Linked DNA regions of Ovis aries. The protein of the gene in region 1 interacts with the protein of each later gene in a pairwise test. Links are inferred from orthologs where the notes say so. Each region holds a gene or a part of one and is shown on either strand. Other genes may lie near its edges. The genes, in order: RINT1, EPC1, SFR1, FAM110A, FAM81B, C5H19orf25 and RIBC1.

Evidence for each region.
Region 2: the proteins of RINT1 (region 1) and EPC1 interact in binary tests that used the Homo sapiens proteins (3 or more experiments, as listed by UniProt). The two-hybrid records come from large-scale screens. The link is inferred for Ovis aries from reciprocal best matches to the Homo sapiens genes RINT1 and EPC1.
Region 3: the proteins of RINT1 (region 1) and SFR1 interact in binary tests that used the Homo sapiens proteins (3 or more experiments, as listed by UniProt). The two-hybrid records come from large-scale screens. The link is inferred for Ovis aries from reciprocal best matches to the Homo sapiens genes RINT1 and SFR1.
Region 4: the proteins of RINT1 (region 1) and FAM110A interact in binary tests that used the Homo sapiens proteins (3 or more experiments, as listed by UniProt). The two-hybrid records come from large-scale screens. The link is inferred for Ovis aries from reciprocal best matches to the Homo sapiens genes RINT1 and FAM110A.
Region 5: the proteins of RINT1 (region 1) and FAM81B interact in binary tests that used the Homo sapiens proteins (3 or more experiments, as listed by UniProt). The two-hybrid records come from large-scale screens. The link is inferred for Ovis aries from reciprocal best matches to the Homo sapiens genes RINT1 and FAM81B.
Region 6: the proteins of RINT1 (region 1) and C5H19orf25 interact in binary tests that used the Homo sapiens proteins (3 or more experiments, as listed by UniProt). The link is inferred for Ovis aries from reciprocal best matches to the Homo sapiens genes RINT1 and C19orf25.
Region 7: the proteins of RINT1 (region 1) and RIBC1 interact in binary tests that used the Homo sapiens proteins (3 or more experiments, as listed by UniProt). The two-hybrid records come from large-scale screens. The link is inferred for Ovis aries from reciprocal best matches to the Homo sapiens genes RINT1 and RIBC1.

Annotation. Positions count from the first base shown.
Region 1 is NC_056057.1:48,154,293-48,158,509, reverse strand, and holds the start of RINT1 (RAD50-interacting protein 1), read right to left. Parts: upstream 2,801-4,217; 5' UTR 2,691-2,800; coding exon of another isoform or gene 2,649-2,690; exon of another isoform or gene 2,264-2,648; intron 2,206-2,263; coding exon of another isoform or gene 2,160-2,205; intron 711-2,159; 5' UTR 674-710; coding exon 568-673; intron 1-567. UniProt on the Homo sapiens protein: Involved in regulation of membrane traffic between the Golgi and the endoplasmic reticulum (ER); the function is proposed to depend on its association in the NRZ complex which is believed to play a role in SNARE assembly at the ER.
Region 2 is NC_056066.1:32,590,651-32,594,150, forward strand, and holds part of EPC1 (enhancer of polycomb homolog 1), read left to right. Parts: intron 1-1,823; coding exon of another isoform or gene 1,824-1,840; exon of another isoform or gene 1,841-1,940; intron 1,941-2,582; coding exon 2,583-2,701; intron 2,702-2,780; coding exon 2,781-2,867; intron 2,868-3,500. UniProt on the Homo sapiens protein: Component of the NuA4 histone acetyltransferase (HAT) complex, a multiprotein complex involved in transcriptional activation of select genes principally by acetylation of nucleosomal histones H4 and H2A.
Region 3 is NC_056075.1:24,378,832-24,382,887, reverse strand, and holds the start of SFR1 (swi5-dependent recombination DNA repair protein 1 homolog), read right to left. Parts: upstream 2,801-4,056; 5' UTR 2,735-2,800; coding exon 2,722-2,734; exon of another isoform or gene 1,625-2,721; coding exon 1,509-1,624; exon of another isoform or gene 954-1,508; coding exon 543-953; exon of another isoform or gene 1-542. UniProt on the Homo sapiens protein: Component of the SWI5-SFR1 complex, a complex required for double-strand break repair via homologous recombination. Acts as a transcriptional modulator for ESR1.
Region 4 is NC_056066.1:59,933,525-59,937,464, reverse strand, and holds the start of FAM110A (protein FAM110A), read left to right. Parts: upstream 1-1,140; 5' UTR 1,141-3,940.
Region 5 is NC_056058.1:92,331,285-92,335,447, forward strand, and holds the start of FAM81B (protein FAM81B), read left to right. Parts: upstream 1-1,363; coding exon 1,364-1,373; intron 1,374-1,761; coding exon 1,762-1,901; intron 1,902-4,163.
Region 6 is NC_056058.1:41,554,046-41,558,315, reverse strand, and holds the start of C5H19orf25 (UPF0449 protein C19orf25 homolog), read left to right. Parts: upstream 1-1,470; 5' UTR 1,471-1,687; coding exon 1,688-1,817; intron 1,818-4,270.
Region 7 is NC_056080.1:51,298,218-51,301,717, reverse strand, and holds part of RIBC1 (RIB43A-like with coiled-coils protein 1), read right to left. Parts: intron 490-3,500; coding exon 376-489; intron 1-375.

The DNA.
Region 1 (4,217 bases):
ATGTAAGTGATATAGGATATTTGTCTTTTCCTGTCTGACTTATTTCACTCAGTGCTTATTTTATACGTAATAGTTTGTACCTCTAGATACCCTACCCCTATATTGCCTGTCCACACTTACCTCTCCTCATGGGTAACCACTAGTTTGTTCTCTGTATCTGTGAGTCTGCTTCTCAAAAATAAAGTTTTAAAGAAACAGCAATGAAGGGCAAGAGGTTATAACAGCCTCATTAGAAAACAACAGCCACTTCTGACAAAATGAAAGAATATCTAAATAAAGATATGCTTAAGTGTAAAATGTAACTATCAGCAATTAACATAATATATACCAGTGTTTAACGCTGTGTATATTCCCCTCCCCAGCCCATAAATTTTTTTTTCTCCTTTGTTCTATTCAATTTATAAGAATTAAATGCTTTTTCCCATGCTATGAGAACCAGTAGCCCACTGGTAGGTAGCAGCAAAACTAATAAAAGTCTATGCCTCAACTTCCCAACTATAAATTCTAACATTTGCCCTGCCTACATTTAAAAGGTTGTAAGTGGGACTCTTAACACAATATTCTTACCTTCTCCTTCAGGTATGATCAGAATTGGCTGGACTGCATCAAACTTTATTACTACAGGAATCCATATACTATTATGTACAGGAGTCTCAATGCCATGTCTTTTCATTTATCTTACATAAAACATGTAAGTTTGTGTGATGTATCTGCAGACACAGAGGCAGGACTATGGGCGGAGGGAATATTTTGTGAACTCTAAGCTTGCTGTAGCTTATAGAGTAAATTCTACCTTCACTTTTTACAAAAATATTATACTTTTTTGATTTAACCATTTAAATGCACCATAGTACATTCTTATTCAAATAACATCCTTTAAAATGACCCACTGGTAATTTTCGGGGGTGGGGAGGGAGGTGTTAATGTCTCTCCTCTATTTTTTGTAAAGCACACTTTTAATTGCAGAGAAATTGACCAAGCCACCAAAGGAGAGACAAAGATAAAATCTACAGCTCAGTGGCATCAACTTCCCAAGCATATGAATGGGGGAAAGGTGGAAAGGGAAGGGTTTAACTGAATGGTATGAGATCCTCTCAAATCCTTTGCCTTTAGGTAAAAGGAGCTGAGTTGTGGCAGCTGTGACTGCCAAGTACTATGAAGTGCTCATAGCTTGCTTTCTGAGACAGACTGTAGCAACAGGCAATGTTAAGGGTAAGTCTAAGTCCTAATGCCAATATGGTAACATGGGCACCCTGTCTGTTACCACTACTCATTCCCAGACTATTTGCCATGGTCAGAAGAACCAAAAACTCTTTGATGGAACAGCTGTTCCATGCTTCCCCCTTCCTCTACCCATAAATTTCACTTCAAAAGCCCTTGATGATTTCCCAAAAGCTTGCCACATTTAGCTCATTAAAGTAAAATGCCAAATGTTCACAGCCCTGGCATGTGCCCCTGCAGGTAGTAAACATTGACCTTTTCCCTTTCCTTGCCCAGTTCAAGATCCAGGAACCAGGTGATCTGTTGTGCTCTTCCCAGATCAATGTTAACTGCAAATTCACTGAAGGTAAAGTACAACTAAACAATTATTATTTGACTCCTTTAAATGCAACTATGATGATGGTCATCTCTCCTAGATCATTAGCCCCTCCAAATTCCTGATGCTTAACAAGTTGATGCTTCATTAAAATAACAGGCAGGCCCCAATTATTCTGAACCCAGTGGAAGGGCAGCACTGGAGTGAAACCACACCAGTCCTTGCACTAGGTAGGGATCAGGAAGTGCTAGTCTCCAAATTACCCCACATTTTACACAATCTTGAAAGTCAAAAATATGTGCATGATGATTAGTATTTATTACTATGCAAGACTGAAGAAAAATGGAGAGGAAGGTGGCCCAGGATGAGATGGTTAGATAGCATCACCAACTCAATGGACATGAATCTGAACAAACTCAGGGAGATAGGAAGGATGGAGGATCCTGGCGTGCTGCAGTCCATGGGGTCAACAACTATGCAAGCAGGTTGTACAAAAAGGAAAAAACGATACTTTATCTAAAAGATTAACAGGCTAATAAGATCCTTCTGGATGCAGACCCGAGAACCGAGTTTTGGAGCGATGGCTGGGTGCAAAGTGCTAAGGTGTTTGGAATCTGCTTACTTTTCTCCTTGAGGTTCTTCTTTTGGTCACCATTTTCAGAGCAGCACTAGAAGGAGAACAGGTAAGACAAACACATCAAGACTGACGTGACAGGGGGAACTCACACAGGGCTCTCAGGGGGCATCCAGTGGAGGACAACTTCTCAACTTCCTGGGAGGCCAGAGTCTGGAGGTTCCCAAAGGGCCACGTCCCTGGTGCCACCACTGTCACATCCCCAGAGAGCTGGGGTTACCTTGCCTGGCCTCCAGGGACACCTCTCCAGAACGATCTAGGTCATATCACCAGGGATCGCCAGAGCTACCGCACTGGGGCCACCTCCCCCGGGAGGTCTGCCACCTTGCCAGAGCAGCAAGGGCCATCTCCCCGGGGTCACGGCAACCGCGTCCCCAGGCCGTCAACTCCACCTCACTGAGACACTCTCCCCTGGAGGTCTGTGCCACCTCACTGGGCCACCAGTGTCCCCTCCCCGGGTCACCAGGGCCACCTAACCGGAGTGACGGGTGCCTCGCCGCTCTCGCCGGCCAGGAGCATCCTGCTTCCGCGCGAGTCGTCTGCTCCTTGCGCAGCCAGCGTGGCCAATGGACTCTGGCTCCCGCCAGCGATCAGAGATGAGCCTCGGAGACCGTAGCGCCGGACGCCACGGCAACTTCCTGCACCGTCTCTCTGGTTTCTTCCTTTCCTACCAGAGAGGCTCTGCCCGTGCAGCTGCCGGCCGTGTGCAGAGGCTCCCCCTGCCGTCCGGGGGTCGGATCAACCCCTCTGGAAGGAGAAGCGGGGGAGAGGAGGGGCGGGGACGAGGTCTTTCTCAACCTTGGTAAAATCTTCTCCACTGCATTGAGGTCATTAATGATGGAGCTTGAAGGTACCCCTCCCTCCACATAAATTCCACTTAAGTCATTTCAACTTATATTTCCGATGATATACCAGATGTTCTGAGAGTGTGAGGGGGCTTGTCGACTGGCTTTAATGTAATTTGGTTGGACTGTTTTAGCTGCGGAATCTCCAATGTCTTTTATCTTTGGATCCTTCTTTTACCGCAAATCAGATACACCTAGAGGTGACCCTCCAACTTCCTACCTGGTGGGTGCAGATCACATTCCGATAGCTGAAAGGAGGAAAAGGACTCGGCATCTACTATATACTTCGCCCAGTGCAGAGACCAAAGAAGTCTGTTCTTTGCTAGGGAGGAGGACTAGGATTGCCATCAAGAGTTAAATAGCGAACCCAGGGATTTGACGACTTCAAAACAAACGTGCAAGTGCTACCGTGGAGACTGAAGCAAACAGGGGCAGGGGAAATAAGCAACCCTTAGAGAAAACAGAAAACATTCAACGAGGAGAAAACTTTATTTATATCCTGAGATGCGTGACCCCCATCGCAACCATAAAGCAGTAACAGTCTACTATTTTAAAAGGAGCATTTAGAGACAAAAAAATATAATAGTAGAAATGAAAATTTCAGTAAAATAGTTTTAAGATCAATGTTGGGAAATATCCTGGGCGGGGCGGGGGGGGTGCGGTTCGTGGGGGGCAGCGGTGGTGGTGGTGGGAAGCAAAAGGTCAAGTGAGTAAAAAATAGGAAAGAAAAAATAAATTAGAGGACCACTCCAGGGGGGTTAAAATCCAAAAAAATAAGAGTTCTAAAAGAAAAACAAAAACAAAACAGCGATTAGGGAAAGAGTAATCACCAGCAAAACAATTGAAGAAAATTTCTCCAAACCAAAGGTCAGGAGTTTCCAGATTGAACTAGGTCCCACTGAGAGCCAAGCACAATGGATACAACCTGACTCATCCCGTGGCTTGTCACTGTGAAACTGCAGAACGCTGAGGTCAAAAAGACAACCCTAGGCTTCCAGAGAGGAAAAAAAAAAGAGATCATTTAGAAAGGATCAAGAATCAGTATATCATTCAATTTCTCAGTGGTCACAAAGAAACCCAGAAGACATCAGAGCATGTCTGTCAAACTTCAAAAGAAAATTTATTTCACACTGAAATTCTGTACATAACTAGTAAACTACCAATCAAATATGGATAAAGAATAAAGGTGTGTTCAGACATT
Region 2 (3,500 bases), on another chromosome or scaffold:
TGAAAGGAAAATCAGTATCTCTTGGCCCCTAGACCCATGTTTTTTACTACCATCACTTCTGGTGTATATGATACTGTGCATTTCTTCTAGAACATTTATCAGAAATGTCCAGGGAAATTTTTATAACTAGACTCTGGAGTTTAGAGATATGTAAGAAATAGGCTAACATAGGGATCTAAAATCACAGTGAGTGTTAGTGATCTAAAGTGTTGGTCGCATTTTTTTTTTTAATTTCTAGATCTGCATTAGGAAGTTAACAGTTGTTTAAAAAATGAAATTCACAAAACCCTCAGAGACTGAGGACTGAAATGTTGACTTAAATAGGGTAAAATATTTGGAACCTTTATTGAAATCGATTTATAACTTAATATTGCTAATTTTAAGTCACAAACACCAGCAAAGTTCTGCAAAAGAATATTTTCATTCATATAAATGGAGTTCTGAACACAGATCTATTCTAGTGAATGCTAAATTATTGTTTTTTAGGTGTGTAATGATGTAACCTTCCAGTAATGGGGTTTTTTGTTGTTGTTGTTGTTGTTGTTTTTTCAAGTTTATTAAGCATCTCCTACCAGGAAATTCAAGATTTAGGCAACTCACTCAAGCTTAGGAAATTAAAGTAGATGATGCAAAAACATATTAGCAATACTTAAATTGTCTTTTTGGCATTAAGCAGTTTCTTTTTATGAAATTTTTTAAGCATAAAGATAAATATTATGTTAATTGTAATCTGTTTCAAGACAGCCTTATTTAAAAAAAATTTTTTTTAAGTTCTGATTTAACTTATTTCTGTTATATGGAAATGGTCATTTTGACAGAAACTTGCTTTTATGAAACTATTTATGGATTATCCTTTTAGCAATAAAAAAATGTATTTATCAATAAAAAAGAATTTTTCCTGCAGAGTTCAGAGCTGAGGATTACCAACATAGTAGGAAAAAAACAGGGCTTCCCTGGTGGCTCAGTTGTGAAGAATCCACCTGCCAATCAGGCGATAATGGGTTCAGTCTCTGGGCCAGGAAGATCCCCTGAAGAAGGAAATGGCAACCCATTCCAGTATTCTTGCCTGGGAAATCCTGTGGACACAGGAGCCTGGGGACACAGTCCATGGGGTCGCAAAAGAATCGAGCATGACTGACTAAATAACAAGAAGAATCTCATCACAGGACATATATCAACTAAACAGATGTGTAACACCAAAAATAGGAAAATAAATGGTAGAGTTTTTCCAACAAATGATTTTTTGCCTTTGTAACCCAGGAAATTAGTTCAGCTCAAGTATGAAAGTCTGTGTAAGTACTGCAACTTCAGAGGTTTTCTGAAATATTATGTCACAGTTTTCTGACTTGTTTAAAATATGGTAGAATTTCTACCTAACTTCTAGCTAAGTATTTTCTAGTTGTCCTAGGCAGAAACTCTGCCCCAGAAGATAAAGATTCTCATGAGTTATAAGGGAAAATTGCAAAACTTGATGATGTAATATTCTAAATAAATTATCAAAACATCTTTAAAGATGACAAATTAGTTGACAGTATTTTGAAGACATTAAACCTTAGATTGAGGGAATATGCATGGTTTATAGATTCCCTAGTGACTGAGGATGCATGCTAACCCTTTTTTTTCTGTTCTGAAATAATTCTTACCCAAACACCACAGGCTTCTTAAAGAAGCCTTAAAGTCAGATGTTGTGATTGTATGTACGTTTTTTTCTTTTTTTTTTTTTAATTGGCAAAAAAAAAAAAGAAAAAGGTTTTCCTTTTTAAAAACTGCACACACTTTTTGGGGGGGTAATAAATGAACATTTTTTTGTTTGTTTTTTTTAGAACTGAGCTCTCCATAGACAAACATAAGTAGCATAACACAGTGTCTTTCCTCAGACATCATTCTGTACAGTAAGCCAACATAAACAACTCCGTTCTTATTGACTGGATTTTTTCCAGGTGGGTTAATTGGGTGGGGAAAATTAATTAACCTTTGGAGCCTCTTTTCTTCCTGTTAAACTTAAAGGATGGGTTCTTTTTTTAAAAAAAAAAAAAAAAGGTAATAAACCAACAACCTTATATTTCATATGGAGGAAATATTTGTAATGACTAAAATTCAGAACTATGTAGAACAGCTAGTATTTCTGCACAGAACTGCTGGAGATCATCTGAATGGATTAGGACAGTAGTATGAATAAATAAAGACACCAGATGGTAATTATTGTATCTCTTCTTAAGCTCAGTGCAAAGCTGAATTTCCAACATGCGGTTGAAAAAAGCTGGTATTACCTTTTACACTGTCTGGCACAAGTGTCACAGCTTACCAAAAAAATAATGGTTTCAAAGCTTGGGAAGTGAGCACTTCTCTTTGGTATGTGCAACTCAAAGTTTCACTTTATTTCTCTTTAAACTCAAGCCACTCTTGTCAAGCGTGGTTATAAAAAATGCTGAAATTCTCATTCAGAAGTGATCTTTAACAGGATGCTCAAATGCTTTCATTTTGCGCAAATTTTTTTAAATGCTTAAATGTGTTTTCGTATATTGTAAGTTGCATGTGATAGCTGTGCGTTTCTATAAAGTGTTCTCTCGTTTTATGTTCAGCATTTACAGCCGAACAATACCAGCAACATCAACAGCAGCTGGCACTCATGCAGAAACAGCAGCTTGCACAAATTCAGCAACAGCAAGCAAGTAGTAATTCCGCCACCACCATGCCACAGGTGAGGGATTTGTCTGTCTTATGATTATCCCTCATGTTTCCCACCAGAGTTCATCTCTAATTACCAACTGTTGTCATAGAGCCTTGCATCTAACCAGCAGAAAAGTGGCTTTCGCCTGAATCTACATCATAGCCACTCTATACAGGGTTTAGAAAGAACATTACAGGTGAGTATAGAAGCTGTCACCCTCTGCTTCCTATTGTAAAAAAGTAAAACCTAAAAGCGCAAATGAGATGGAGACCCTGTCCTCAAGCCTGATCTTGTAGTCTGTGAATGTACCTCTTTAACTTACAGCCCCACCCAGCTCATTATCTGGAGAACTTTTAATTCTTCTTAAAATGTATTAAAAATTATGCTAAAATAACTTCTTTTACTCTTAAAAGAAATCACTTTTGAACCTAAAGCATGATAAATATTGGCCATTTAAGCACATTTATAGAACTTAACGGAAGGCTGAGATTTGTGTCTCTAGACATCTGAGAGGAAAATATCATTTAAAAAATTCAAGGGGCCTCTTAATCTCTAGGCTGAGTTAGGATGCGATTGATGTTTTGTTCCTCTGTTCTAAAGGGGTAGTCACCTTACTGTCCCTTGGCTGCCTTAGGTTGTGTATGTATGTGTGTAAGTTTGGTGAAGGGAGTTTTGCCTACTCACCCATTCATTATATGAATTTATTCATGCAGTGATTCATTGCAAATCACCAAAATGTTTTACTAGCATGTTTCTTGTTTAACACTTTGTGTTGGAGGTTTACCATTTCCACATTTTAAAGGTTTATTTTGGTAATTTCATATTATAT
Region 3 (4,056 bases), on another chromosome or scaffold:
AAGGGTCATCTTCCAAGTGCCCAAATTCTATTCATTTCAACCTACCTGGATCGAGATCTAAAATTTATTATATTTTTGTTGTTTTCTTAAAAGAAAATGCATGAAACATTTTAATAATTTGTTGGTAATAATTTAATTACACAAAATCATTACTAAAAATACTTTTTATTGTACTCTGTGGCCCATTTTTAGCCTTTTTCTCTTCACTGTCACTGTTGCTTCTGTTCTCATTGCAATTTGCAGCTAACATTTGAAACTTCTAATACTGCTGTGGGATGGAAACTAGAGGGAAAAGCTTCAACTGCATATTAAATGTGGGCTGGGGCTTTCAAAAATGTATACTTGGTGTTTAAGGCCTCTTCTCTAAATCTATGACTTATATTTGAGTTAAAGTTGTTGGAAGCCAGGTCTCTTGGTAATTGGCTTATTTCTAAGTATTGTAAAATAAAGTTGTATTTTCTTTTTGAAATATTTTCCTACCATTTATCTAAAAACAAACAAACAAAAAAATTATTAGGCAACGGCTCTGAAATTCTTCTCACCTTTGATCTATACATTTTGACTAGCTTCAGCCTCCGAAGAAGATCTTCTTTCTCGTGAATCTGCTTCATCAATTCTGCTTTTTCTTTGTTTAGTTCATGCTTGGCAAGATTCTCATTCATAAAGTCATTTTGGAGATCACTGGATGGCTCAGCATCAAGTGATTTAGATTCACAAACATTGATATTCTTGAAGGTATCTTTCAAATATGTACTTTCTTCAAATTCACTATCTATGTGTTTAAATTTTTCGTGAAATTCCAAACAGTTTTCTTCTGTTGAAGGTGCTGATTTCTGTGAAAAAGTCTGATCATTTTCCTCACTCTCTACTTTAAGCCGTTTTACCACACTGTAACAGGAATTAAATGAAGATCTGGTTTTCCTTAATCGTTCTCTAAGGGTTGCACTCATAGGCTGAAAAAGGCATCAAACGTTAATGTCAATCAAGAAAAACATTCTTGATATAAATAAATCTACTAGGAATCAAGACTACATTTCTGTGGCAGACACCACTAGATGGCTTTCTGTCTCCATATATCTAAAGTAACCATCACAAAATACCTTTCAATTTCTGGAAGCTCCACTAAGTTTTATTCTCTTTTTAAGCCAGCACTCTTCTACTCAGTAATCACAAACATTTGTTCAGCAATTAGTCCAAGCCTGATATGGTTAGGTGCTTAGTTACAAATTAAGGAAAAAGATCTTTCCACCAAAGACCTCCATGACATCAAACTTTTTGTTTGGAATGCTGTAATAACCTGAACTGAAAATAAATGAAAATAATTGAGTCAGGATGAAAATCTAAGAGGAAGGTCCAATACATTTTCTAAAAGGAAACACCTAAAATGATGTTAACAAAAATTTTATTTATTAACCTACACACTATTGACAATGTTCAGTAGACTTAAAACCACCATTACTGCAATACTTAGAAATATACATCCAGTGAAAGAACTAAGATTTTCATACTTGTTTTCTTGAACTACTTGAATGGGGAGATGGTGGATTGGCACCAGCTTGTGGAGTGCTAGGTAACATCAAAGCCGAGTTTGATGGACTTTCCATCTTGAAATCTTGCTTTACTTCTAAAAAACAGAAAATAATGACAAAACAGAAATCAACTTTGCCCACACCTCTATATATTCAATTTTAAACAACTTCCTTTCACTTAGCTGTGATTCATTCTTGCTTTTTTGCGTGCAATTTTCTGTTTACTTCCCTAAATTAGATTGTTGGTCATTATGGTGACTACTAGTTTTTTCATGACAAGTTACCCAGCTAGCATCTCATATAAACAACTCTCCATTTGTTTTTACTGACTGATAAAAGTCTCAAAACCTGCCATATGGTGGTGGGGCGGGGTAGGCGGGGAGGAGAATAACATTCAGGAATTCTTTAATCTCATTAAGCCAGTTTCACAATGAAGGAAAATGTAATTGAAATCCTTTAGTGCTTTAAGTGCAAATCGCTCAGTCGTGTCCGACTCTTTGCGACCCCATGGTCTATACAGTCCATGGCGTTCTCCAGGCCAGAATACTGGAGTGGGTAGCCGGTCCCTTCTCCAGGGCATCTTCCCAACCCAGGGATCGAACCCAGGTCTGCCGTATTGCAGGCGGATTCTTTACCAGCTGAGCCACAACAGAAGACAATATTTTAAAATTAAAAAAATATATTTATAACTTCTTTAAAGTGCTTTTCGGTGTTTAAATTGAGTTCATCTTATGCCTTTATCTATTGATTACTCTTCCTCTTGATTATGGATCACATTCTCCTACTTCCCACTACTATCCCACTTAAATAAACATAATCAGACCTGTCACACTACCCTAAATCCTAGAAGCTGTGTGCCTAAAACTAACGCCCCCCGGGGGTGAGGAATAAGGAGCACAAGCACAGGTAAGTTTACTCCTGTCTGCATCGTTTTCAATTAAATAGCGAAGAGACCGTGAAAAGGAGAGACTTAAGTTTCTCAAAGGCCATCAACTTTACAGGGTAAAATACCAGAGGAGCCCTCCCTCCCCTCCAGCCACTACAGAAGGCCCACACGAGCCCTCGAGACACCCAAAACCTGAGGTGGAGCTGAGAGGTGCCTTGACCGCGGAAAGGGAGCATTATTCAATTCCCCATCCGAACCCCGAAGAAGTTCAGCTGTCAGACACCCACCCCACACCCCGCACGGTACCTCCCTCAGCCATCCCCAGACAGCACAAAGAGCGCGCTAGCCGCGGCGCCGTTTCAGAGGCCGGGCCGCGCGGGAGGAGGAAGAGACGCGCGATTGGCCAGATTGATTGACACACAGGTCCTCTCCGCCCAGCGCCCGGAGAGGCGGGACTGCGCGCGCGCGGCCTCGAGATTCCGCAAGGGGGCAGGACGAAACGGAGGGGCCGTGACGCGTGATTGGCCGAGTTGACCGATACGCGCGGCTCTGCTCCGCCCAGCGCCCGAGAGTCGCGGCACTGCGCGCGCGGCCGTTTGCTGGGAAGAGCTTTAAAGCAACTAACGGTTCCCATGAGGTGCGCGCTTTTCTTCGCGGCTTCTTCTCGCTCTTTTTTCATACCGCCTTCCTTTGCAGCTTCCTGGGTTTTGTGTTTCTAAAGGACGCCTGAGAATGCCCCTCCTGTTCTCCTAGCTCCCATCAGTCTCTTCGCGCTCCCCACAGCAAAGGCCTTTTCTCAGATTCCACGGGACCCAGAGACTCCGGGCCTGCTGTGTGTTATATTTACAGCTTGTAAACTCCAAAGGCAAAGACTACAAAAAGATGGGTCAATGGCCCGTTGACAGTCAGACACATTAGAAATCTAAGAACCCCAGCGGAACCAGTAGAGCTTCTTTTAGACTGCTGCCTCAAAGTCTGCGGTCCCGCCACGGGTGGTTTTTTGTTTTTGTTTTTTTCTCTTCCTTCTTTTGGCGAATCTGTCTGAAAATTTAGGTTTCTTAGCTTGGCTCCGAATCTTTTCGTCAAACCTGAAAGAAAATGTAGCCCAAGGAAAGTCGTTGGGGTGCAATACAGGAAGCAGAACAATGACTAAGATTAGGTTGGTCCAAACCCTGGCTGAATACTGGGCAGTGGCATCCTCGGTCTAAAATAACCCTCCTCGTTTCCTGTGTAGCGAGGTTCCGTTGCTGTGCAACAACAAAGTGAACTAATTGGGTGGAGCACTGAGTTTGGGAAAAGACAGTTGAGTAATTTCTGAGTCACGTGGAAGTTGGGAATTTTAGCGGGGCAGTGTTTTGAATTCTAAGGAATAGCCATTTTAAACGTTGACACTGTCTTTTTACTAATATCTGATATAAATGGCTTACAAGTAGCAAGGACCCAGACGGAATAACTGAGTGCTAAACAGTGGAATGTATCTACAGAACTTGAAGACCACCTAATGCAGTGATTAAGAACATAAATGTTGGAGTCCAATTGCTTAGGTTCAGATCCCAGCGCCTTTGTGTTGTTTATAATGGAATGTGTCTGTGTCTCAGCTTCCTCATCCATAAAGAGGGGATATAATATCAGTCCTCCTAG
Region 4 (3,940 bases), on another chromosome or scaffold:
GTACATAGTGCTTTGAAACATACTTTTGAAAAATTCAATCTTTCTTAGTGCTAAATATATTTTAATCATATCATTTTTAATGACTGTATAATATTCCTCAGCAAAAAGTGAGGATATTTAAAGGTACTTATCAGAGGGTTATGCCATGAGCAGTGATGAGAGTTTTGTCATGCAAAGCTTCTGGTATATATAAAAACCTCAATAAATTCAGTTCTTCCGCAGGATGGATTTATATAACCAATTTCCTTTCACTGAGCACTTAAGTTATTTTCATTATTTTGCCATGATAAAGAACGCAGGGCATATTAATCTTCGCTCACATCCTTAGTAAATTTCGGGACTGCTGGGCATGCCCATCTTCACACTAACTTGCTCAGCATTGAGCAGTTAGAGGAACAGACAGGAAAACTGGCTTGCACTGGTTCACATAGCCTGTCAGCTGAAGTCAGGACTGCTGCTGCTGCTGCTAAGTCGCTTCAGTCGTGTCCGACTCTGTGCGACCCCAGAGACGGCGGCCCATCAGGCTCCCCCGTCCCTGGGATTCTCCAGGCAAGAACGCTGGAGTGGGTTGCCATTTCCTTCTCCAATGCATGAAAGTGAAAAGTGAAAGTGAAGTCGCTCAGTCGTGTCCGACTCTTAGCGACCCCTTGGGCCCACCAGGGTCCTCCGTCCATCAGCTAAGTCCCGGGTGAACAAGAGAAAGAATTAGCCGCTTGAGCTAAAGGGGCTGCTCAAAGAACCTGAGACCACCGGGAAGCTGAAGGGCGGGGAGGGACTGAGAAGGCAGGGCGCTCCCACGCCAGGCCGAAGCTAAGCCGTTGCCTGGCAATGCGGGCGGCGCGGAGTTCGAACGGAAGCGAGAAACCAATCAGGATGTCCGGGGCAAACCATTCTGGTGTCGGGGAGGGGGGTGAAGCGACGCGCTCATTTCCCCTTCCCCCGGTGCCCCGGGGTTTTCGCTTCCCCTCTGTGCCCCCAGACCTTCGCTCTGTCTGGGACCTTGGGACAGTCAGGTTCTCCGGCTTATCTCGGGTGCGGAGCACAGCTCCGAAGAGGCCCCCGCGGGTCCTCACGTGGGGCTTGGGCCTCCCGAGCCGTGTTGGGTGCGGCCATTCCCCGCCTGACTGGGTCCGAGCTGTCAGCCTCCTCAAGACCCACACTGGAGGAGCGGGACTCGCCTAGGCGAGGCTCCTTGTGAGGGCACGGGTGGTCCGGGGCGCGAACCCGGGTGTAAGGGGGCGCTGTATTCACCCCTGCGGTGCGTGTTCTCTCCGAGTCCTACGAGGGTACCCCATTTCACAGATGAGAACGCTGAGGCTCAGAAAGACGAAGTCTGGCAGAGAATCTGATTCAGATCTTTCTGCTCCATCTCGCAGTCTCTAGCATAATAGTTCTAGATTTGCCTTGAGAGACCCTGACAGGTAACTGGTGGTCGCTTTCTTAGCCTCTGATCAACAGGAGCATGAGAGCCCTGGCTGCATCCGCTCCAGGCTGCCTCTCCCCAGCGTCGGCCTGGGGTCTTCTCCCCACCATCTGTCTTCATTTCTCCAGAAAGCCAGGGGTGGACTTGGGGCTCACTTGAGATCCTTCAGCTTGCAGGGCTCTGAATTACAGAGCTCTCCCTCTCAGAGAGAAGATACGGGTGGCTCAGGCAGGACTGACATTTCTGAGCTAGGTGCCAGGTGGGGAGCAGATGCTTTGGCCCTGGAATTGCTGTAGGACTCTTGGGAATCTACTGCGGGTTGGGCAAAAGGGTAGGCACAGCCCTCAGCCAAAGACGCTAGTCACCAGAGACACTGGACTTGGTCCTGGGCCCAGGACCGCTCCTGGTAGAGCATCTGACCTACACCAGGCCTTACCTCCTGGGGAACCCCCTCCCCACCTGCTGGTTGCTATGGGTTTCCTTTCGTAGGTGGGCAAACTGAGGTTCTAAAAAGTTAAGCCCCTTTGCCCAAAACCACATGGTCAGACTTGGCAACTCTGGGGCTGGTTCCCAATCTGTCTGGCTTCCATCTTAGAATCCTAGACACTCAGAATTGTAGCATCTGGGAGTCTAGAATCTCTTCAAGGGGAATTATTTATCCTCTCTCCTCCAAACCAGTCTCCTGGCTTTAAAGGGAGCAGAGCTCTGGAAATTCAGAAAGAAAACAAGTCTTCATTCTTTCAACAAATATTTACTCACTTCATATGCTCTGCCTTGTCTATTTTGTTTTTCTCAGTAGCATTTACCCCATCCAATGTCCTATAATTTCACTTATTAGCGAGTTTATTATCTTCCCGGACTGGAATGTGTTGCAGGGAAGGGTTAGGGTGAGGTAAATGAGGTAATCGCCTCCAGTGTGAAACTGAGGGGTGCCCAAAGCCCTAGGAATCAAAATGACTAATGCTAACATTTATTGATCATTTTTGTGTGTTCTGCTGGTGGGAGATCAACTCCCTGGATCACAGTCCCTCATCTCTGTCACAATTACACATGCACCCCCTGACCTAGCTGTCCCACTTCTGGGCAGAATGATATAGGTGCAGTGAGCCCACAGTGTGGGGTTTTTGGGTTTTTTAAGGCTCTGCCTGAGAACTCTTTTATTTATTTGTTTATTTTTGGCTGGGCTGGGTGTTCGTTGCTGCCTGGGCTTTCTCTAGTTGCAGGCTTATCATTGTGGTGGCTTTTCTTGCTGTGGATCATGGGCTCTAGAACTTGGAGGCTTCTTTTGTTGTGGCCTAGTTGCTCCATGGCACGTGGGATCTTCTACCAGGGGTAGAAGCCATGTCCCCTGCATTGGCAGGCAGATTCTTAACCACTGGCCCACCAGGGAAGTCCCACAGTGTGGTTTTTAATAGAGACTAGACACACGCTCAGTGGCCATTGGTAGGGACTGATGGGCTCTTTATGTAGTACAACATATATTATTTTGTTAATAACATTATAATTAATAACATGCTAATAACATATTAAGAACATATATTATTCAATGAAAGAATAAATGAAAACAATGCACAGAACATGTTGCTATGTGTAAAAAAAATAGAATATATGTCCATTGTTGCTTGTATGTGCCTGAAATCTCCCTGGAAGGACATATAACCATCTGATCATAATGATTCTTGCAGGGAGGGGAACTGGGTGGCTGGGGATAGGAGTGGAGGGAGGTGTTTTTCTTTTTTTAATTTCCTTTACAGCTTATGAATCTTAAGCCATGCACATGTATCACCTGGTTGAAAAAATATGTGTGTATTATAGATTGTTTATCTAATCATGAGACCACTGCCCTGTCTATGATCTGTCATTAACTTTCTTGTGACTTTGGACAAGGTTCTTGACATCTCTGCGCCGAGAAAAGAAGCCATGATGGTGCGCTTCGGCCCAGGCAGAGGGCAGTCCGGGACAGGAAGTGGGCTTGGTTGTGGGTCTGTCCCAACTCCACCTTCCGCATCCTGTGTGCCAGGCCCTTCCCTAAGGCTTTGCGCGCAGTATCTCTCTTAGTCTGCACTGCGAGTCCCTTTGTCCTCATTTGGCAAGCTCAGGTGCAGACCTGAGGCCCAGAGGACTGAGTTGGTGGAGGTGTGCAGTTGGTGGGCCAAACGGGAGATTGCTGCCTTAGGCAGCTGCACCCACACCGCTTCTGTGGCCTGTTTACCTTTCTCTTCCTGAGGTTTGTGCAAGGTTGCCCTGGGCAAGGCTGACTGCAGGCAGGCCAGGGCACGAACATCTGGGAAAACTCCAGAAATAGTGTGGGGCCTGGCGTGGGCCTGGAGGATGCCCAGCTGGGTGTCTCTGGCCCTGGCAGCTGTCCTGGAGTCTTCTGCTGCCTGGAGCCTTCCTGGCTCCCTCTGGGGCAGGAGAGGGCCTCTCTGTCTCCACCGAAGTCTGGGCTGGACTTCTGCTAAGGAAAAGGAGAAGCAGGTGGAAGGGAGGGGTGAGGTGGAAGTGCACAATGTCATA
Region 5 (4,163 bases), on another chromosome or scaffold:
AAATCATGCATGTTTTTATCTATGGGATCAAAATTTGTCACTTAGTATTCTGAATGTCACGCATGCCCACAGAGCAAGGCAAACCAGCACCATCATGTGAAAAGTGACTCAGCCAGTAACATCACTTCTGTATATGAGGGCCAAGCGGTATTAGCAAAATATGCAAATTCTAATTTTAAAAGTCAGGAAAATACCTCAGAGCTAAAACAGTCCACATCTTTTTGAAACAAGCCAAACAACCAAACAAAGCCTGTCTACCCACCCACCTGTCACTGTAGCATTCTTTGTAATACTCCACCTAGTGGCCTGGAGGAGTTCAGTTCAGTTCAGTCACTCAGTCATGACCGACTCTTTGCGACCCCATGGACTGCAGCACCCCAGGCTTCCCTATTCATCACCAACTCCTGGAATTTACTCAAACTCATGTCCATCGAGTTGGTGACACAATCCAACCATCTCATCCTCAACTGACCCTTTCTCCTCCTGCCCTCGATCTTTCCCAGCATCAGGGTCTTTTCCAATGAGTCAGTTCTTTCCATCGGGTGGCCAAAGTATTGGAGTTTCAGCTTCAGCATCAGTCCTTCCAAAGACTATTCAGGATTGATCTCCTTTAGGATGGACTGGTTGGATCTCCTTGCAGTCCAAGGGACTCTCAAGAGTCTTCTCCAACACCACAGTTCAAAAGCATTAATTCTTTGGTGCTCAGCTTCCATTATAGTCCAACTTTCACATCTGTGCATGACTAGTGAAAAAACCATAGCTTTGACTAGATGGACCTTTGTTGGCAAAGTAATGTCTCTGCTTTTTAATATGCTTTCAAGGGTGGTCATAGCTTTTCTTCCAAGGAGCAAGCATCTTTTAATTTCATGGTTGCAGTCACCATTGGCAATGACTTTGGAGCCCAAGAAGAGTTAGCTGCCTTAACTAGCATACTTGGGGAAAAAGATTCGGGAGTAGGGCAGCATCTCATTTCTTTGTTTAATCTGATGGAAACTGGTCTCTTCTCAAACTTTGAAGGGGAAATGAGCAGAAGGGTATGAAATATTGGTCTAAAAATAACCACTTCCCACTGATTGAGACAAAGAGGTGGGGAGGATCTAGCGATTTTTACTACAATGAGCATTAAGGAAAACACTTGAAGCCCCTAAATCCAGCACCTAAAGTGTGGGGACCCCCAACCCCATCGACATCACAGTTCCTCCCTGCAGTCACAATGCCGCTGGGCCACCCAGCAAGATGCCCCAGAAACATGAAGACTTTGGTCAGGATGCAATCAAATTTCCTTAGTACTTTGGCTTTCAGAGAGAGAAAATAAAAACCTCTGTTCCCGTTCCAAAAAAATGAAGTCAGGAAATCAAGCGTCATGAGTTCAGGTATTTACCTCATGGATTACTCAAGGACTCTACATGTCTCATTCTTGGCTAGCTTACTTATATTTCTTTTTACATACAAACAAGGTAATAAATCCTGAAGTAGGTACTCAGAAGGCTTCGGCACAATGGGGTGAGGAATCATTGCCTATTATCAGTCTGACCTAGATGAATGCCTCTTAGCAGTTTCCTGACTGTCTCATGGCAGTATCCGAGGTGATAAGCTGTTCTGTAGGTGTGATGCGGACCTGGGGGAGAACTGGGGAGGAGAGGAAGGAGGGAAAGACGTGTGAAACAATGGGAAGCCTCCCTTTAATTTCACTGTATGTTCAGAAACTGCCCTCAATTGAAAAATAAACAATTGCCACTACTGCAAAAACTTCATTTGCAGTAGTTCCTGATCTGATTCAGCATTCTGGTTGCCTAGAGACGGATGTAAACAAAAGTGCCTCCCCGACTGCCGCTGCCAAGGAACAGCCAGAAGAACCTGATGGCCCCCTTCCTGGCTCAGCCAGTGAGCAAGAAAAGAAAGCAAGTACTCTTAGATATTCATATGAAAAATAGGATATTTTGTTCAGCTTCTTTAAAGCTTAATGTTGCTTAGAGAGATCTCAGGAGTCCAGGAAGAGTTGCTTTCCTTTTCACTCTCTTAACCTTTCCTGTTTGTTCTGCTTTGAAAAAATGACTGAGGCCAGCACAAGCTGCAAAGAAAAATGATCTCGATTTGTCAGTTCATTCACTGGACTGACTTTTAATATGGGGAGCTAGAAATTTGATCATTATTTATTTTTGTGAAGATTTAAAAGGAACTCAAATTGTGGATGTTATCTCTAACAAAAAAGAAAATAACTAAATAAAATTTTTATTGTTATGTACTTGTCATATCTTCCCCATTAATTTTTTAAAAAACACTCTAATAAGCAGTGTTTTCAGACTTTGCTTTATAATTCTGACTAGCGGACACAGCCTCTTGTGATGGGAAGAGGACCGGAAAGCTAGCATAATGGCAAGCAATGACTTTTGGTATCTACTGGCTGTACAACATATTGGCTGCATGACCCAGTTACTTAAAAACTCTCTGCCTCCTCTTATGTGAAATGGGCTGATTAGGCCTATCCTAAGATGTGGAGCTTGAATGAGCCTCTAAGGCAAAGGCAGGTAGGAAGGACTCAGCTTGACCATTATCACCAGCTGCATGATGCTGAGTAAGTTCCTTGCTTCTCTGATTCTCAGATTTCTCACCTATAAAAATAATCATCTTAAATTCTTTCTCTAATAAAGAAGGATTTCAGTTACTTAAGGTAACTGTTGTTATCCGTAAGTTAATGATTCTCACTTCACAGAGCTGTTTCAAGAATGAAATTACATCATATATGTGATCATATTTTATAGTCCATTCTATATTGCAAAGCATTATTACTAAACAAATGAAAACTAATACTTCTAAATGTCCTGTGATAATCACAGTTGTTTATGAGGCAATTTTGATATAATTATGCTTAGTTTGTAGGAATAGCTGACTCCTATATTCAATTCAATCCAGTGGGTTAGCTGACTCCTATATTCAATTAGCAAAAATATAAAACCTTAGTCTTAAATACCTAAAAAAGTGCACAAAGAGTAAATAGATTATGCCCCAATGTTAACAGCTTTTGCTCTAGGATTGTTTTTTTCTGCATCTTTTACTTTTTCTATATTTTTCCAAATTTCCCTGAATTGTCAAGTTTAACATTTATTACTTTAAAAGTATGTGACTTGCAGGTATGCTTTTAAGAGAATGTTACTTATTGTCTTCCAAAGCAAAACTTTAAAATGAGCGAAATAAAACTGATTTAAAAAATAAATAGATAAAACAGATATATATCCAACTGCTTTACTTCAAAAGAAGAAACGAAGACAATAGCCCAGTTAGTCATTGTCCTTGGACGCAATGTGCATCGCACTCTTTCTTTCCACAAGTGCTCACAAAAGAGTAGGAGGTGCCGAACATACAAGGCCAGGGACCAGCCCACAGACAAGCTCCCACAGGCTGGGCTGCAGCTGTGGAGGGGTGAGAAGGAAAGAGCTGGCATTAAGCAGATGGGGAGCCCATGGCACAGCACTGTTCCAGCCGGAATCCAGAGTGAAAACACAAACCAGGGCAGAAGACCAATCCTGTTCTCCAAGGAGCTGGGATGGTTTCCATACCACAGACATCTGTGTGCTCAGGGCATCAGTATAATAAACCCATTCTCTAGCAAAGACCTGGCTTTGGAGCACCAGACTCATGGTGAACTCCACTCAACATTGGGCAGAGAGGGTCTGAAGCACAATTAAATGGCTCACTGGCTCCCTCTGCACAGCCTCAAGCTTTTTCTGGTCCCTTCCACTGAGTCGGCTGGCCAGGAGAGCCTGTTGTCAGGTGGTGTTCTATATTAGCCTCCTTGAAAACAAACTGAAGAAGGCTGAGCGCCGAAGAATGGATGCTTTTGAACTGTGGTGTTGGAGAAGACTCTTCAGAGTCCCTTGGACTGCAAGGAGATCCAACCAGTCCATTCTGAAGGAGACCAACCCTGGGATTTCTTTGGAAGGAATAATGCTAAAGCTGAAACTCCAGTAATTTGGCCACCTCATGCGAAGAGTTGACTCATTGGAAAAGACTTTGATGCTGGGAGGGATTGGGGGCAGGAGGAGAAGGGGACGACCAAGGATGAGATGGCTGGATGGCATCACTGACTCAATGGACGTGAGTCTGAGTGAACTCCGGGAGTTGGTGATGGACAGGGAGGCCTGGCGTGCTGCGATTCATGGGGT
Region 6 (4,270 bases), on another chromosome or scaffold:
GTTAACCTATACTGTTGAAGACTGGCTTGGAGGATGCTTTGTTAGGCAGTCAGAGAAGCCAGCATTGGACCGGACACCCACCCTTTGTGCTTCTAGGCTCTGCGCAAGGAGGCTGATGTTGCTTCCTTCCTCATTATTTAACTTATATGCAGAGTACATCATGAGAAACGCCGGGCTGGAAGAAGCACAAGCTGGAATCAAGATTGCCGGGAGAAATATCAATAACCTCAGATATGCAGATGACATCACCCTTATATAGCAGAAAGTGAAGAGGAACTAAAAAGCCTCTTGATGAAAGAGGAGAGTGAAAAAATTGGCTTCAAGCTCAACATTCAGAAAACGAAGATCATGGCATCTGGTCCCATCACTTCATGGGAAATAGATGGAGAAACAGTGGAAACAGTGTCAGACTTTATCTTTTTGGGCTCCAAAATCACTGCAGATGGTGACTGCAGCCATGAAATTAAAAGACGCTTACTCCTTGGAAGGAAAGGTATGACCAACCTAAACAGCATATTAAAAAGCAGAGACATTACTTTGCCAACAAAGGTCCATCTAGTCAAGGCTATGGTTTTTCCAGTGGTCATGTATGGATGTGAGAGTTGGACTGTGAGGGAAGTTGGACTGAGTGCCGAAGAACTGATGCTTTTGAACTGTGGTGTTGGAGAAGACTCTTGAGAGTTCCTTGGACTGCAAGGAGATCCAACCAGTCCATTCTAAAAGAGATCAGGCCTGGGTGTTCTCTGGAAGGACTGATGCTAAAGCTAAAACTCCAATACTTTGGCCACCTCATGTGAAGAATTGACTCATTGGAAAAGACTGATGCTGGGAGGGATTGAGGGCAGGAGGAGAAGGGGACGACAGAGGATGAGATGGCTGGATGGCATCACTGACTTGATGGACATGAGTTTGGGTGAACTCCGGGAGTTGGTGATGGACAGGGAGGCCTGGCGTGCTGCTATTCATGGGGTCGCAAAGATTCGGACACCACTGAGCGAGTGAACTGAACTGAACCCCACTTCAACTCGCTCAGTCTTGTCCAACTCTTTGCGACCTAATGGACTATGCAGTCCATGGAATTCTTCAGGCCAGAATACTGGAGTGGGTAGCCTTTCCCTTCGCCAGGGGATCTTCCCAATCCAGGGATGGAACCCAGGTTTCCTGCATTGCAGGCGTATTCTTTACCAGCTGAGCCACAATGGAAGCACAAGAATACTGGAGTGGGTAGCCTATTCCTTCTCCAGGGTATCTTCCCGACCCAGGAATCGAACTGCGGTCTCCTACATTACTGGTGGATTCTTCACCAGCTGAGCTATCACGGAAGCTCCAGCCATTCTGCTCCAGTGTACTGAAACTCTCTCGGGCGTGGCCCCTTTACAGAGGGGTTGGCTTCGCGGTGGGCGGGAACCCGAGGAGGCCGGAAGTGCGCTTCACGTGCCTATAGGGCGGGCCCGCAGGCCGACCGGAAGCGGAAGTGGCCTCTCGGCAGCTGTGGCGGCTGAGTACCCGCTGCCAGGTGGAGCTTCTGCTGGAAACTTGTCTTGAGTGGAGCCGGACACTGAAGCCCCAGACCGCGTGCTGTTCTGCCTTGGGAGGAACGAGGCAGGGCCGGCTTCGCCGGGAGCGGGACTCCGGAGCAGGGCGCCAGGAACTGCGCGGTCAACGCTCTTTTCTCCAGCCTGCAGGGATGGGCTCCAAGGCCAAGAAGCGCGTGGTGCTGCCCACCCGCCCGGCGCCCCCCACGGTAGAGCAGATCCTGGAGGACGTGCGGGGGGCTCCCGCCGAGGACCCCGTGTTCACCGCACTGGCCCGGGAAGGTAGGGGGAGCCCAGGCCATGCAGGGGAAGGGCGGTCCCGAGACCCCAGCGAGAAGGGAAGCACCTGGCTGCTTTTGAGACGCACTAGCAGAGTTAAATGGTCAGGACAGAGACTGTCTGGCCCTACAGTGCCCAAAATACTTAGGTCTGGCCTTTTGCAGAGAAAGGGTGTCCACCCCTTGTTCAGAAGATAAACGGAGAACATTGATTGCAGGGGCCGACATACAGTTGTAGTCTGAATACTGTGTTCTCTATGAGGTTCGTTTATTCGTTCAGCCTTATTGAGAACCTCTTATGGGCCAGGTTCTATTCTAATCACTGAGGTGGTGAGGTGAGACCTGAACGTTGAAAGTCCCTGGGACTTCCCTGTCCGTCCAATGCTTAGGACTCTGCGATTCCACTTCAGGGGGCATGGGTTCAATCCCCGGTCGGGGAACTAAGATCCTACATACCACATGGTACAGCCAAGGCTCGGGGAGGTGGGGGGGATGAAAGTGCCTGTCCTCAGGCCATTCTAGTGGATAGAGAGGATTAGTATGAGGCTTGTGGGATGTCAGAAGGTGAGAAACACGTTGGGATTTTTTCGGGGGGTTCGTCTTTGTGACTTTTTTTTTTTTAATTAAAGTATAGTTGGTTTACAGTGTTAATTTCTGTTTCATAGTAGAGTTACACATACTCATTCTTTTCCATTATAGTTTATCACAGGATATTGAAAATCCTGCACTATACAGCAGGACCTTGTTGTTAATCCATTCTGTACGTAATAGTTTGCATATGGTTATCCAAAACTCCCATTCTTTCCACCATCCCCCATGCCCTCTGTGTGTGTTGTTCAGCCGCTCAGTCGTGTCCAACTCTTTGTGACCTCATCGACTGCAGCACGCCAGGCTTCCCTATCCTTCACCATCTCCCGGAGTTTGCTTAAACTCATGTCCGTTGAGTTGGTAATGCCATCCAACCATCTGATCCTCTGTTGCTCCTTTCTCCTCTTGCTCGAAATCTTTCCCAGCATCAGAGTCTTTTCCAGTGAGTCAGCTCTTTACATCAGGTGGCCAAAGTGTTGGAGGTTCAGCATCAGTCCTTCCAGTGAATATTCAGGATTGATTTTCTTGCTGTCCCTCCCCCTTGGCAACCACAAGTCTTTTCCTAGGTCTGAGTCTGTTTCTGTTTCATAGATAAGTTCATTTGCATTATATTTAGATTCCGCATATAAGTGATATCATACAGTATTTGTCTTTTTCTGACTTACTTCATTTAGTATGGTAATCGCTAGTTGGATCCATGTTGCTGCAAGTGACAATATTGTGCTTTTTCACTGCTGAGTAGTAATCCATTGTGTATATATACACCATATCCTTTTTTTTTTCTTACCGTACCCTTTTTATTCCTCTATCCATTTATCTGTCAGTGGACGTTTAGCTTGCCTCCATGTCTTGGCTGTTGTAACTAGTGCTGCTGTGAACATTGGGGTGCATGTTTTTTTTGAATTGTGGTTTCATCTGAATATATTTGCACAGGAGTGGGATTGCTGAATCATATGGTACCTCTGTTTTTAGTTTTTTGAGGAACTTCTGTGCTGTTTTCACAGTGGCTGCAGTAGCTTATATTCCCACCAACAGTGTAGGAGTGTTTACTGTTCTCTACACCCTCTCCAGCATTTGTTTATTTGTAGAGGTTTTTTTTTTTTTTTAATATTTATTTTATTTGGCTGTGCCAGGTCTTTGTTGTGTCATGTGAACTCTTAGTTGCAGCATGTGGGATCTAGTTCCCTGACCAGGGTTTGAACCTTGGCCCCGTGCATTAGGAGCATGGCGTCTTAGCCAGTGGACTACCAGGGAAGTCCTTATTTGTACAGTTTTTAATGATGGCCATACTGACCTGTAGGAGGTGGTACCTCATTGTAGTTTTGACTTGCCTTTCTCTGATAATGAGTGATGCTGAGCATTTTTTCATGTGATTCTTGACCATCTGTATGTCTTCTTTGGAGAAATGTCTATGTAGGTCTTCAGCCCATTTTTCAACTGGGTTGTTTTGTTTGTTGATATTGAGTTGAATGAGCTGTTTGTATATTTTGGAAGTCAAGCCTTGGTCAGTCACATCATTTGCAATTATTTTCTCCCAGTCTATAGGCTGTTGGTTTCCTTTGCTGGGCAAAAGCCTGTGAGTTTGATTAGGTCCTATTTGTTTATTTTTGCTTCTATTTCTGTTGCCTTGGGAGACGGACCTAAGAAAGCATAGGTAAGATCCATGTCACAGAATGTTATACCTGTGGTCTCCTCTAGGAGTTTTATGGTGTCATGTCTTATATTTAAGCCTTTAAGCCATTCTGGGTTTTTTTGTGTAGGGTATGAGAGAGTGTTCTAACGTCATTGACTTACATGTGGCTGTGGGACAATTTGTTTTTAAATTAAGTAACAGTAAAAATTCTGTTCTTTGCTGCACATGGCCACATT
Region 7 (3,500 bases), on another chromosome or scaffold:
TAAGTGTCCCTCCCATCAGTTACCAGTTTCTTATGTAGCCTTCCAGAGAGTTTTGGCATATGCATGCAATACCAAATATTCTTTATAGACTTCTTTTGGCTCCATTTACTTGTCTCTTGAAAACCAGACCACTTGGCCTAGAGTTGACTGGAGAAGAGTCTGCTGTCACTGGCTCCTCTTCCCCTGCACCTCTAGGCCTCTTTCTCAGGCCCTCACCACATGCTGGGGTGGGTGCCTTTTTCCCTTCCTCCTTCCTTTATAACCCTGCAGTCTGCTCAAATCAGGGAGGGGCTGTGATGGGCACGGCTATGTTCCTCTCCTGGTGTAAGAGTGAGGTGACCCCTGGTCCAGAGAAAGTCCCCACTGCCCACTCACCCCCATGACTCTGGTCCGCACATTGAAGAATCGACTCTGTCGCTCCTTTTCTTGATTTCTAGCTTCGGTGGGTGCCACCTCCTTGGGATCTGGTGGCAGATCTACCTGATACATCTGGAGCAAGGGCGAGTTGGATGGCCAATTAGTGCTAACCATCATACTTGACTATACCCCCACCCCCCATTCCTTTCTCCCCACAGTATCTTACCAGCTATTGATTCCTACTGATTTTACTTCCTGACATATTTCATATCTGTGTTCTCCATCTCTGCTGTCGAAACCCTAATTGAGGCCTCACAAGCTGGTGGCCAGATAATGTTCCCAGGAACCTCACTGGGCTCCCTTGCTCCAGTGTTAGGCTCTCTACTGCTTTTCTGCCTTGGCTACCAAAGTGATTTTTCTGAAAGCAAATCTGACCATGGCACACCGCAGCTTAAAACCTTTGAAAGCATCTATAAAGCAAGGGGGCTTCCCAGGTGACTCGGTGGTAAAGAATCTGCCTGCCAGTGCAGGAGATGCAGGAGGGAAGATCCCCTGGAGGAGGAAATGGCAGCCCGAGCCAGTATTCTTGCCTGGAGAATCCAGTGGATGGTGGAGCCTGGTGGGCTACAATGAGCTGAACATGACTGAGCATGCACGCATGGCATAAACCAAATTGTTCCCCAATGTTTTGGTTTTATGAGTCTTCATGATCTGATTCCTGCTCACCTTTCCAAGTCTCAAACTGATTTACAACATCCCTTTTGCATTAGGCTCTATTTAGTTTTTTCTGTTTCAGTAAATGCCACCACCATTCCCCCTTTATTTTTATTACTTATGCTCTAGTCAAATTAAAGGCTTAAATTTGCCTGCATTCCTTTGTATTTTGGGAAGCCCAGCCAAAGCCACAGCCAAAATCTCTTGCTAACATAAATCTGATCATGTCTTACACCTGCTTAAAATCCTCCACTGGCTTCCTACCACACTTAGAATTAGATCCATACCCCTTTCTGTGGTTCAAGATCTGGTTCCTGCATACCTCTCCGGTTCATCTCATGCCTCCCTCTTCCTTGTTTACTGTTCTCCAGGTACGCTGGCTTCCTATTAAGTCCTCCAACACTACAACTGTTCCCACCTCAGGGCCTTTGTACATTGCATTCCTTTGTTTGGAATACCATACATCAACTCCTACAGCTAGTTCCAACCTCACTTGTTCACTGTCTAACCATTTTGTAACTAAAATATTTGATGCACACAGGGGAATTATATATAAGCCATATGTAACTTAGGAAAAGGAAGCATGATAAAAGAGACCCATGAACCAACTCCCTAGTTAAGAAATAGAACACGATTAATACTAGTTAAGTGTCTTATGTCTGTTCTTCTTCATCCTTACCCTAAGAATAACCACTATCCAAAATGTCACCATTCCCTTAATAATATGCACTAATATACCATATGTGTGTGTATGATTCCCTGAACATTTAAAAATATTTTGTCTTGAAACTTGATGGAGTATCACACAGTATGCATTCTTCTGCATCTTGTTTTTTTCACCCATGTTCATTTATCAATTAACAAATATTCATGAAGTGCCTACTGACAGACAATCCCTTAAGCGTTTGAGAGACATCAAGGAGCAAAAGTGACAAAAATCTGAGTCCTTGTGAAAGTTACTTTCTAGTGGGGACAGACAAGACTAGAGAGAGTACATTAAATAGTTTGTAAGAAGATGATTAGTGCTTTGGGAAAAAATATAGAGCAGGATAAGGGGAATTGGAAGTGCTAAAGAAACGGGGAGAGTGTTGCAATTTTAAATATGGAAGTCAGGGGAGGCATAACTGGGAAAGAAATAGTTGAAGAAGGTGAGGGAGTCTCCTATACAGATAACTAGGAGGAGAGCACTGCAGGCAGAGGGAACAAGTGCAGAGGCCTTAAGGTGGACAAAAGAGGCACACACACATTCAAGAGGACAGCAGGGAGGCAAGTGTGTGAATGAAAGAGGAGTGGGAAATAACATTAGATTGGGTGGGGAGATGCAGAGCATGTAGGACTTCACAGACCATTGTAAAGGCTGCAGCTTCTACTCAGAGAAATGGGCAGCCATTGGAGGATTTTGAGCAGTGGGAGTAATGTGTCCTGTCTTTGATTTGTAAAGGATTGCTCTGGCTGCTGTGTTAAGAATAGACTGGAGGGGATGGGAAGGGAGGCTAGAGGCAGGGAGACCAGACAGGAGGCTATTGCAGTTGTACAGGCAAGAGATGATGATCACGCCAGGTTAGTAGCAGCAGATGTAGGGAGAAGTGGTCAGATTCTGGATATATTTTGAAGGCAGAGCCAGCAGGACTTCCTGATGGATTGGGTGTGCTGTGAGGAAGCAGTGTTAAGAATGACTTCAAGGATTTGGGCTGGGGCAGTCAGATGCATTGCTATCAACTAAATAGTCTGTATGGAGAGAATAGAATAGGATGAGAATCTGGAGATCAGTTTTGGAGGTGTTGAGTTTGAGAGGTCCATACCCATTGATAGATACAGATAGTATGGAAAATTTTGTTATTTTTCAAAAAGATATGCTATTGGGAATTTCCTTGCTGTCCAGTGGTTAGAACTCTGCACTTCCACTTCAGGGGGCATAGGTTTGATCCCTGGTGGGGAACTAAGATCTCACAAAGCCCCCAAAAAATTTTCTTTGGTATCCGTCCTTACAGGATTCTATATTCTTATCATATTGCCCTCACGATTAGCCGCATAATCTGCTTTGCCCTCTGGAAAGTGAGAACTGACAGTGCCATTCCTAGGCAGAACTAAGAGCCATTAAGTGATAGCCATATTCTCTCTTTACTGCTGTGGGACCAGCAATGTCCCAGGTGAGGGCTGTCCCTTCAGTCTTGGTCCTGGAGTGAAGACAGAGCAGAGATGTAGCCAACCCACAATGGACAAGAAGTGGAGTGAGAAACCTGTCTTTATGAGCTGCTGAGACTTAGAAACATTTTTTAAGAGTTTATTTGGGCAGAAAACAAATTGGGTACTGCCAAACCAGAGTGGTTAAGAGTTTAAGGAAAGATGTTTAAAGAGATGGAAAACAAGGAAATTATTTGATTGGCTATAGCTGAAGTGCTTGTTTTATTTGAGAATGCCTAGTTGAC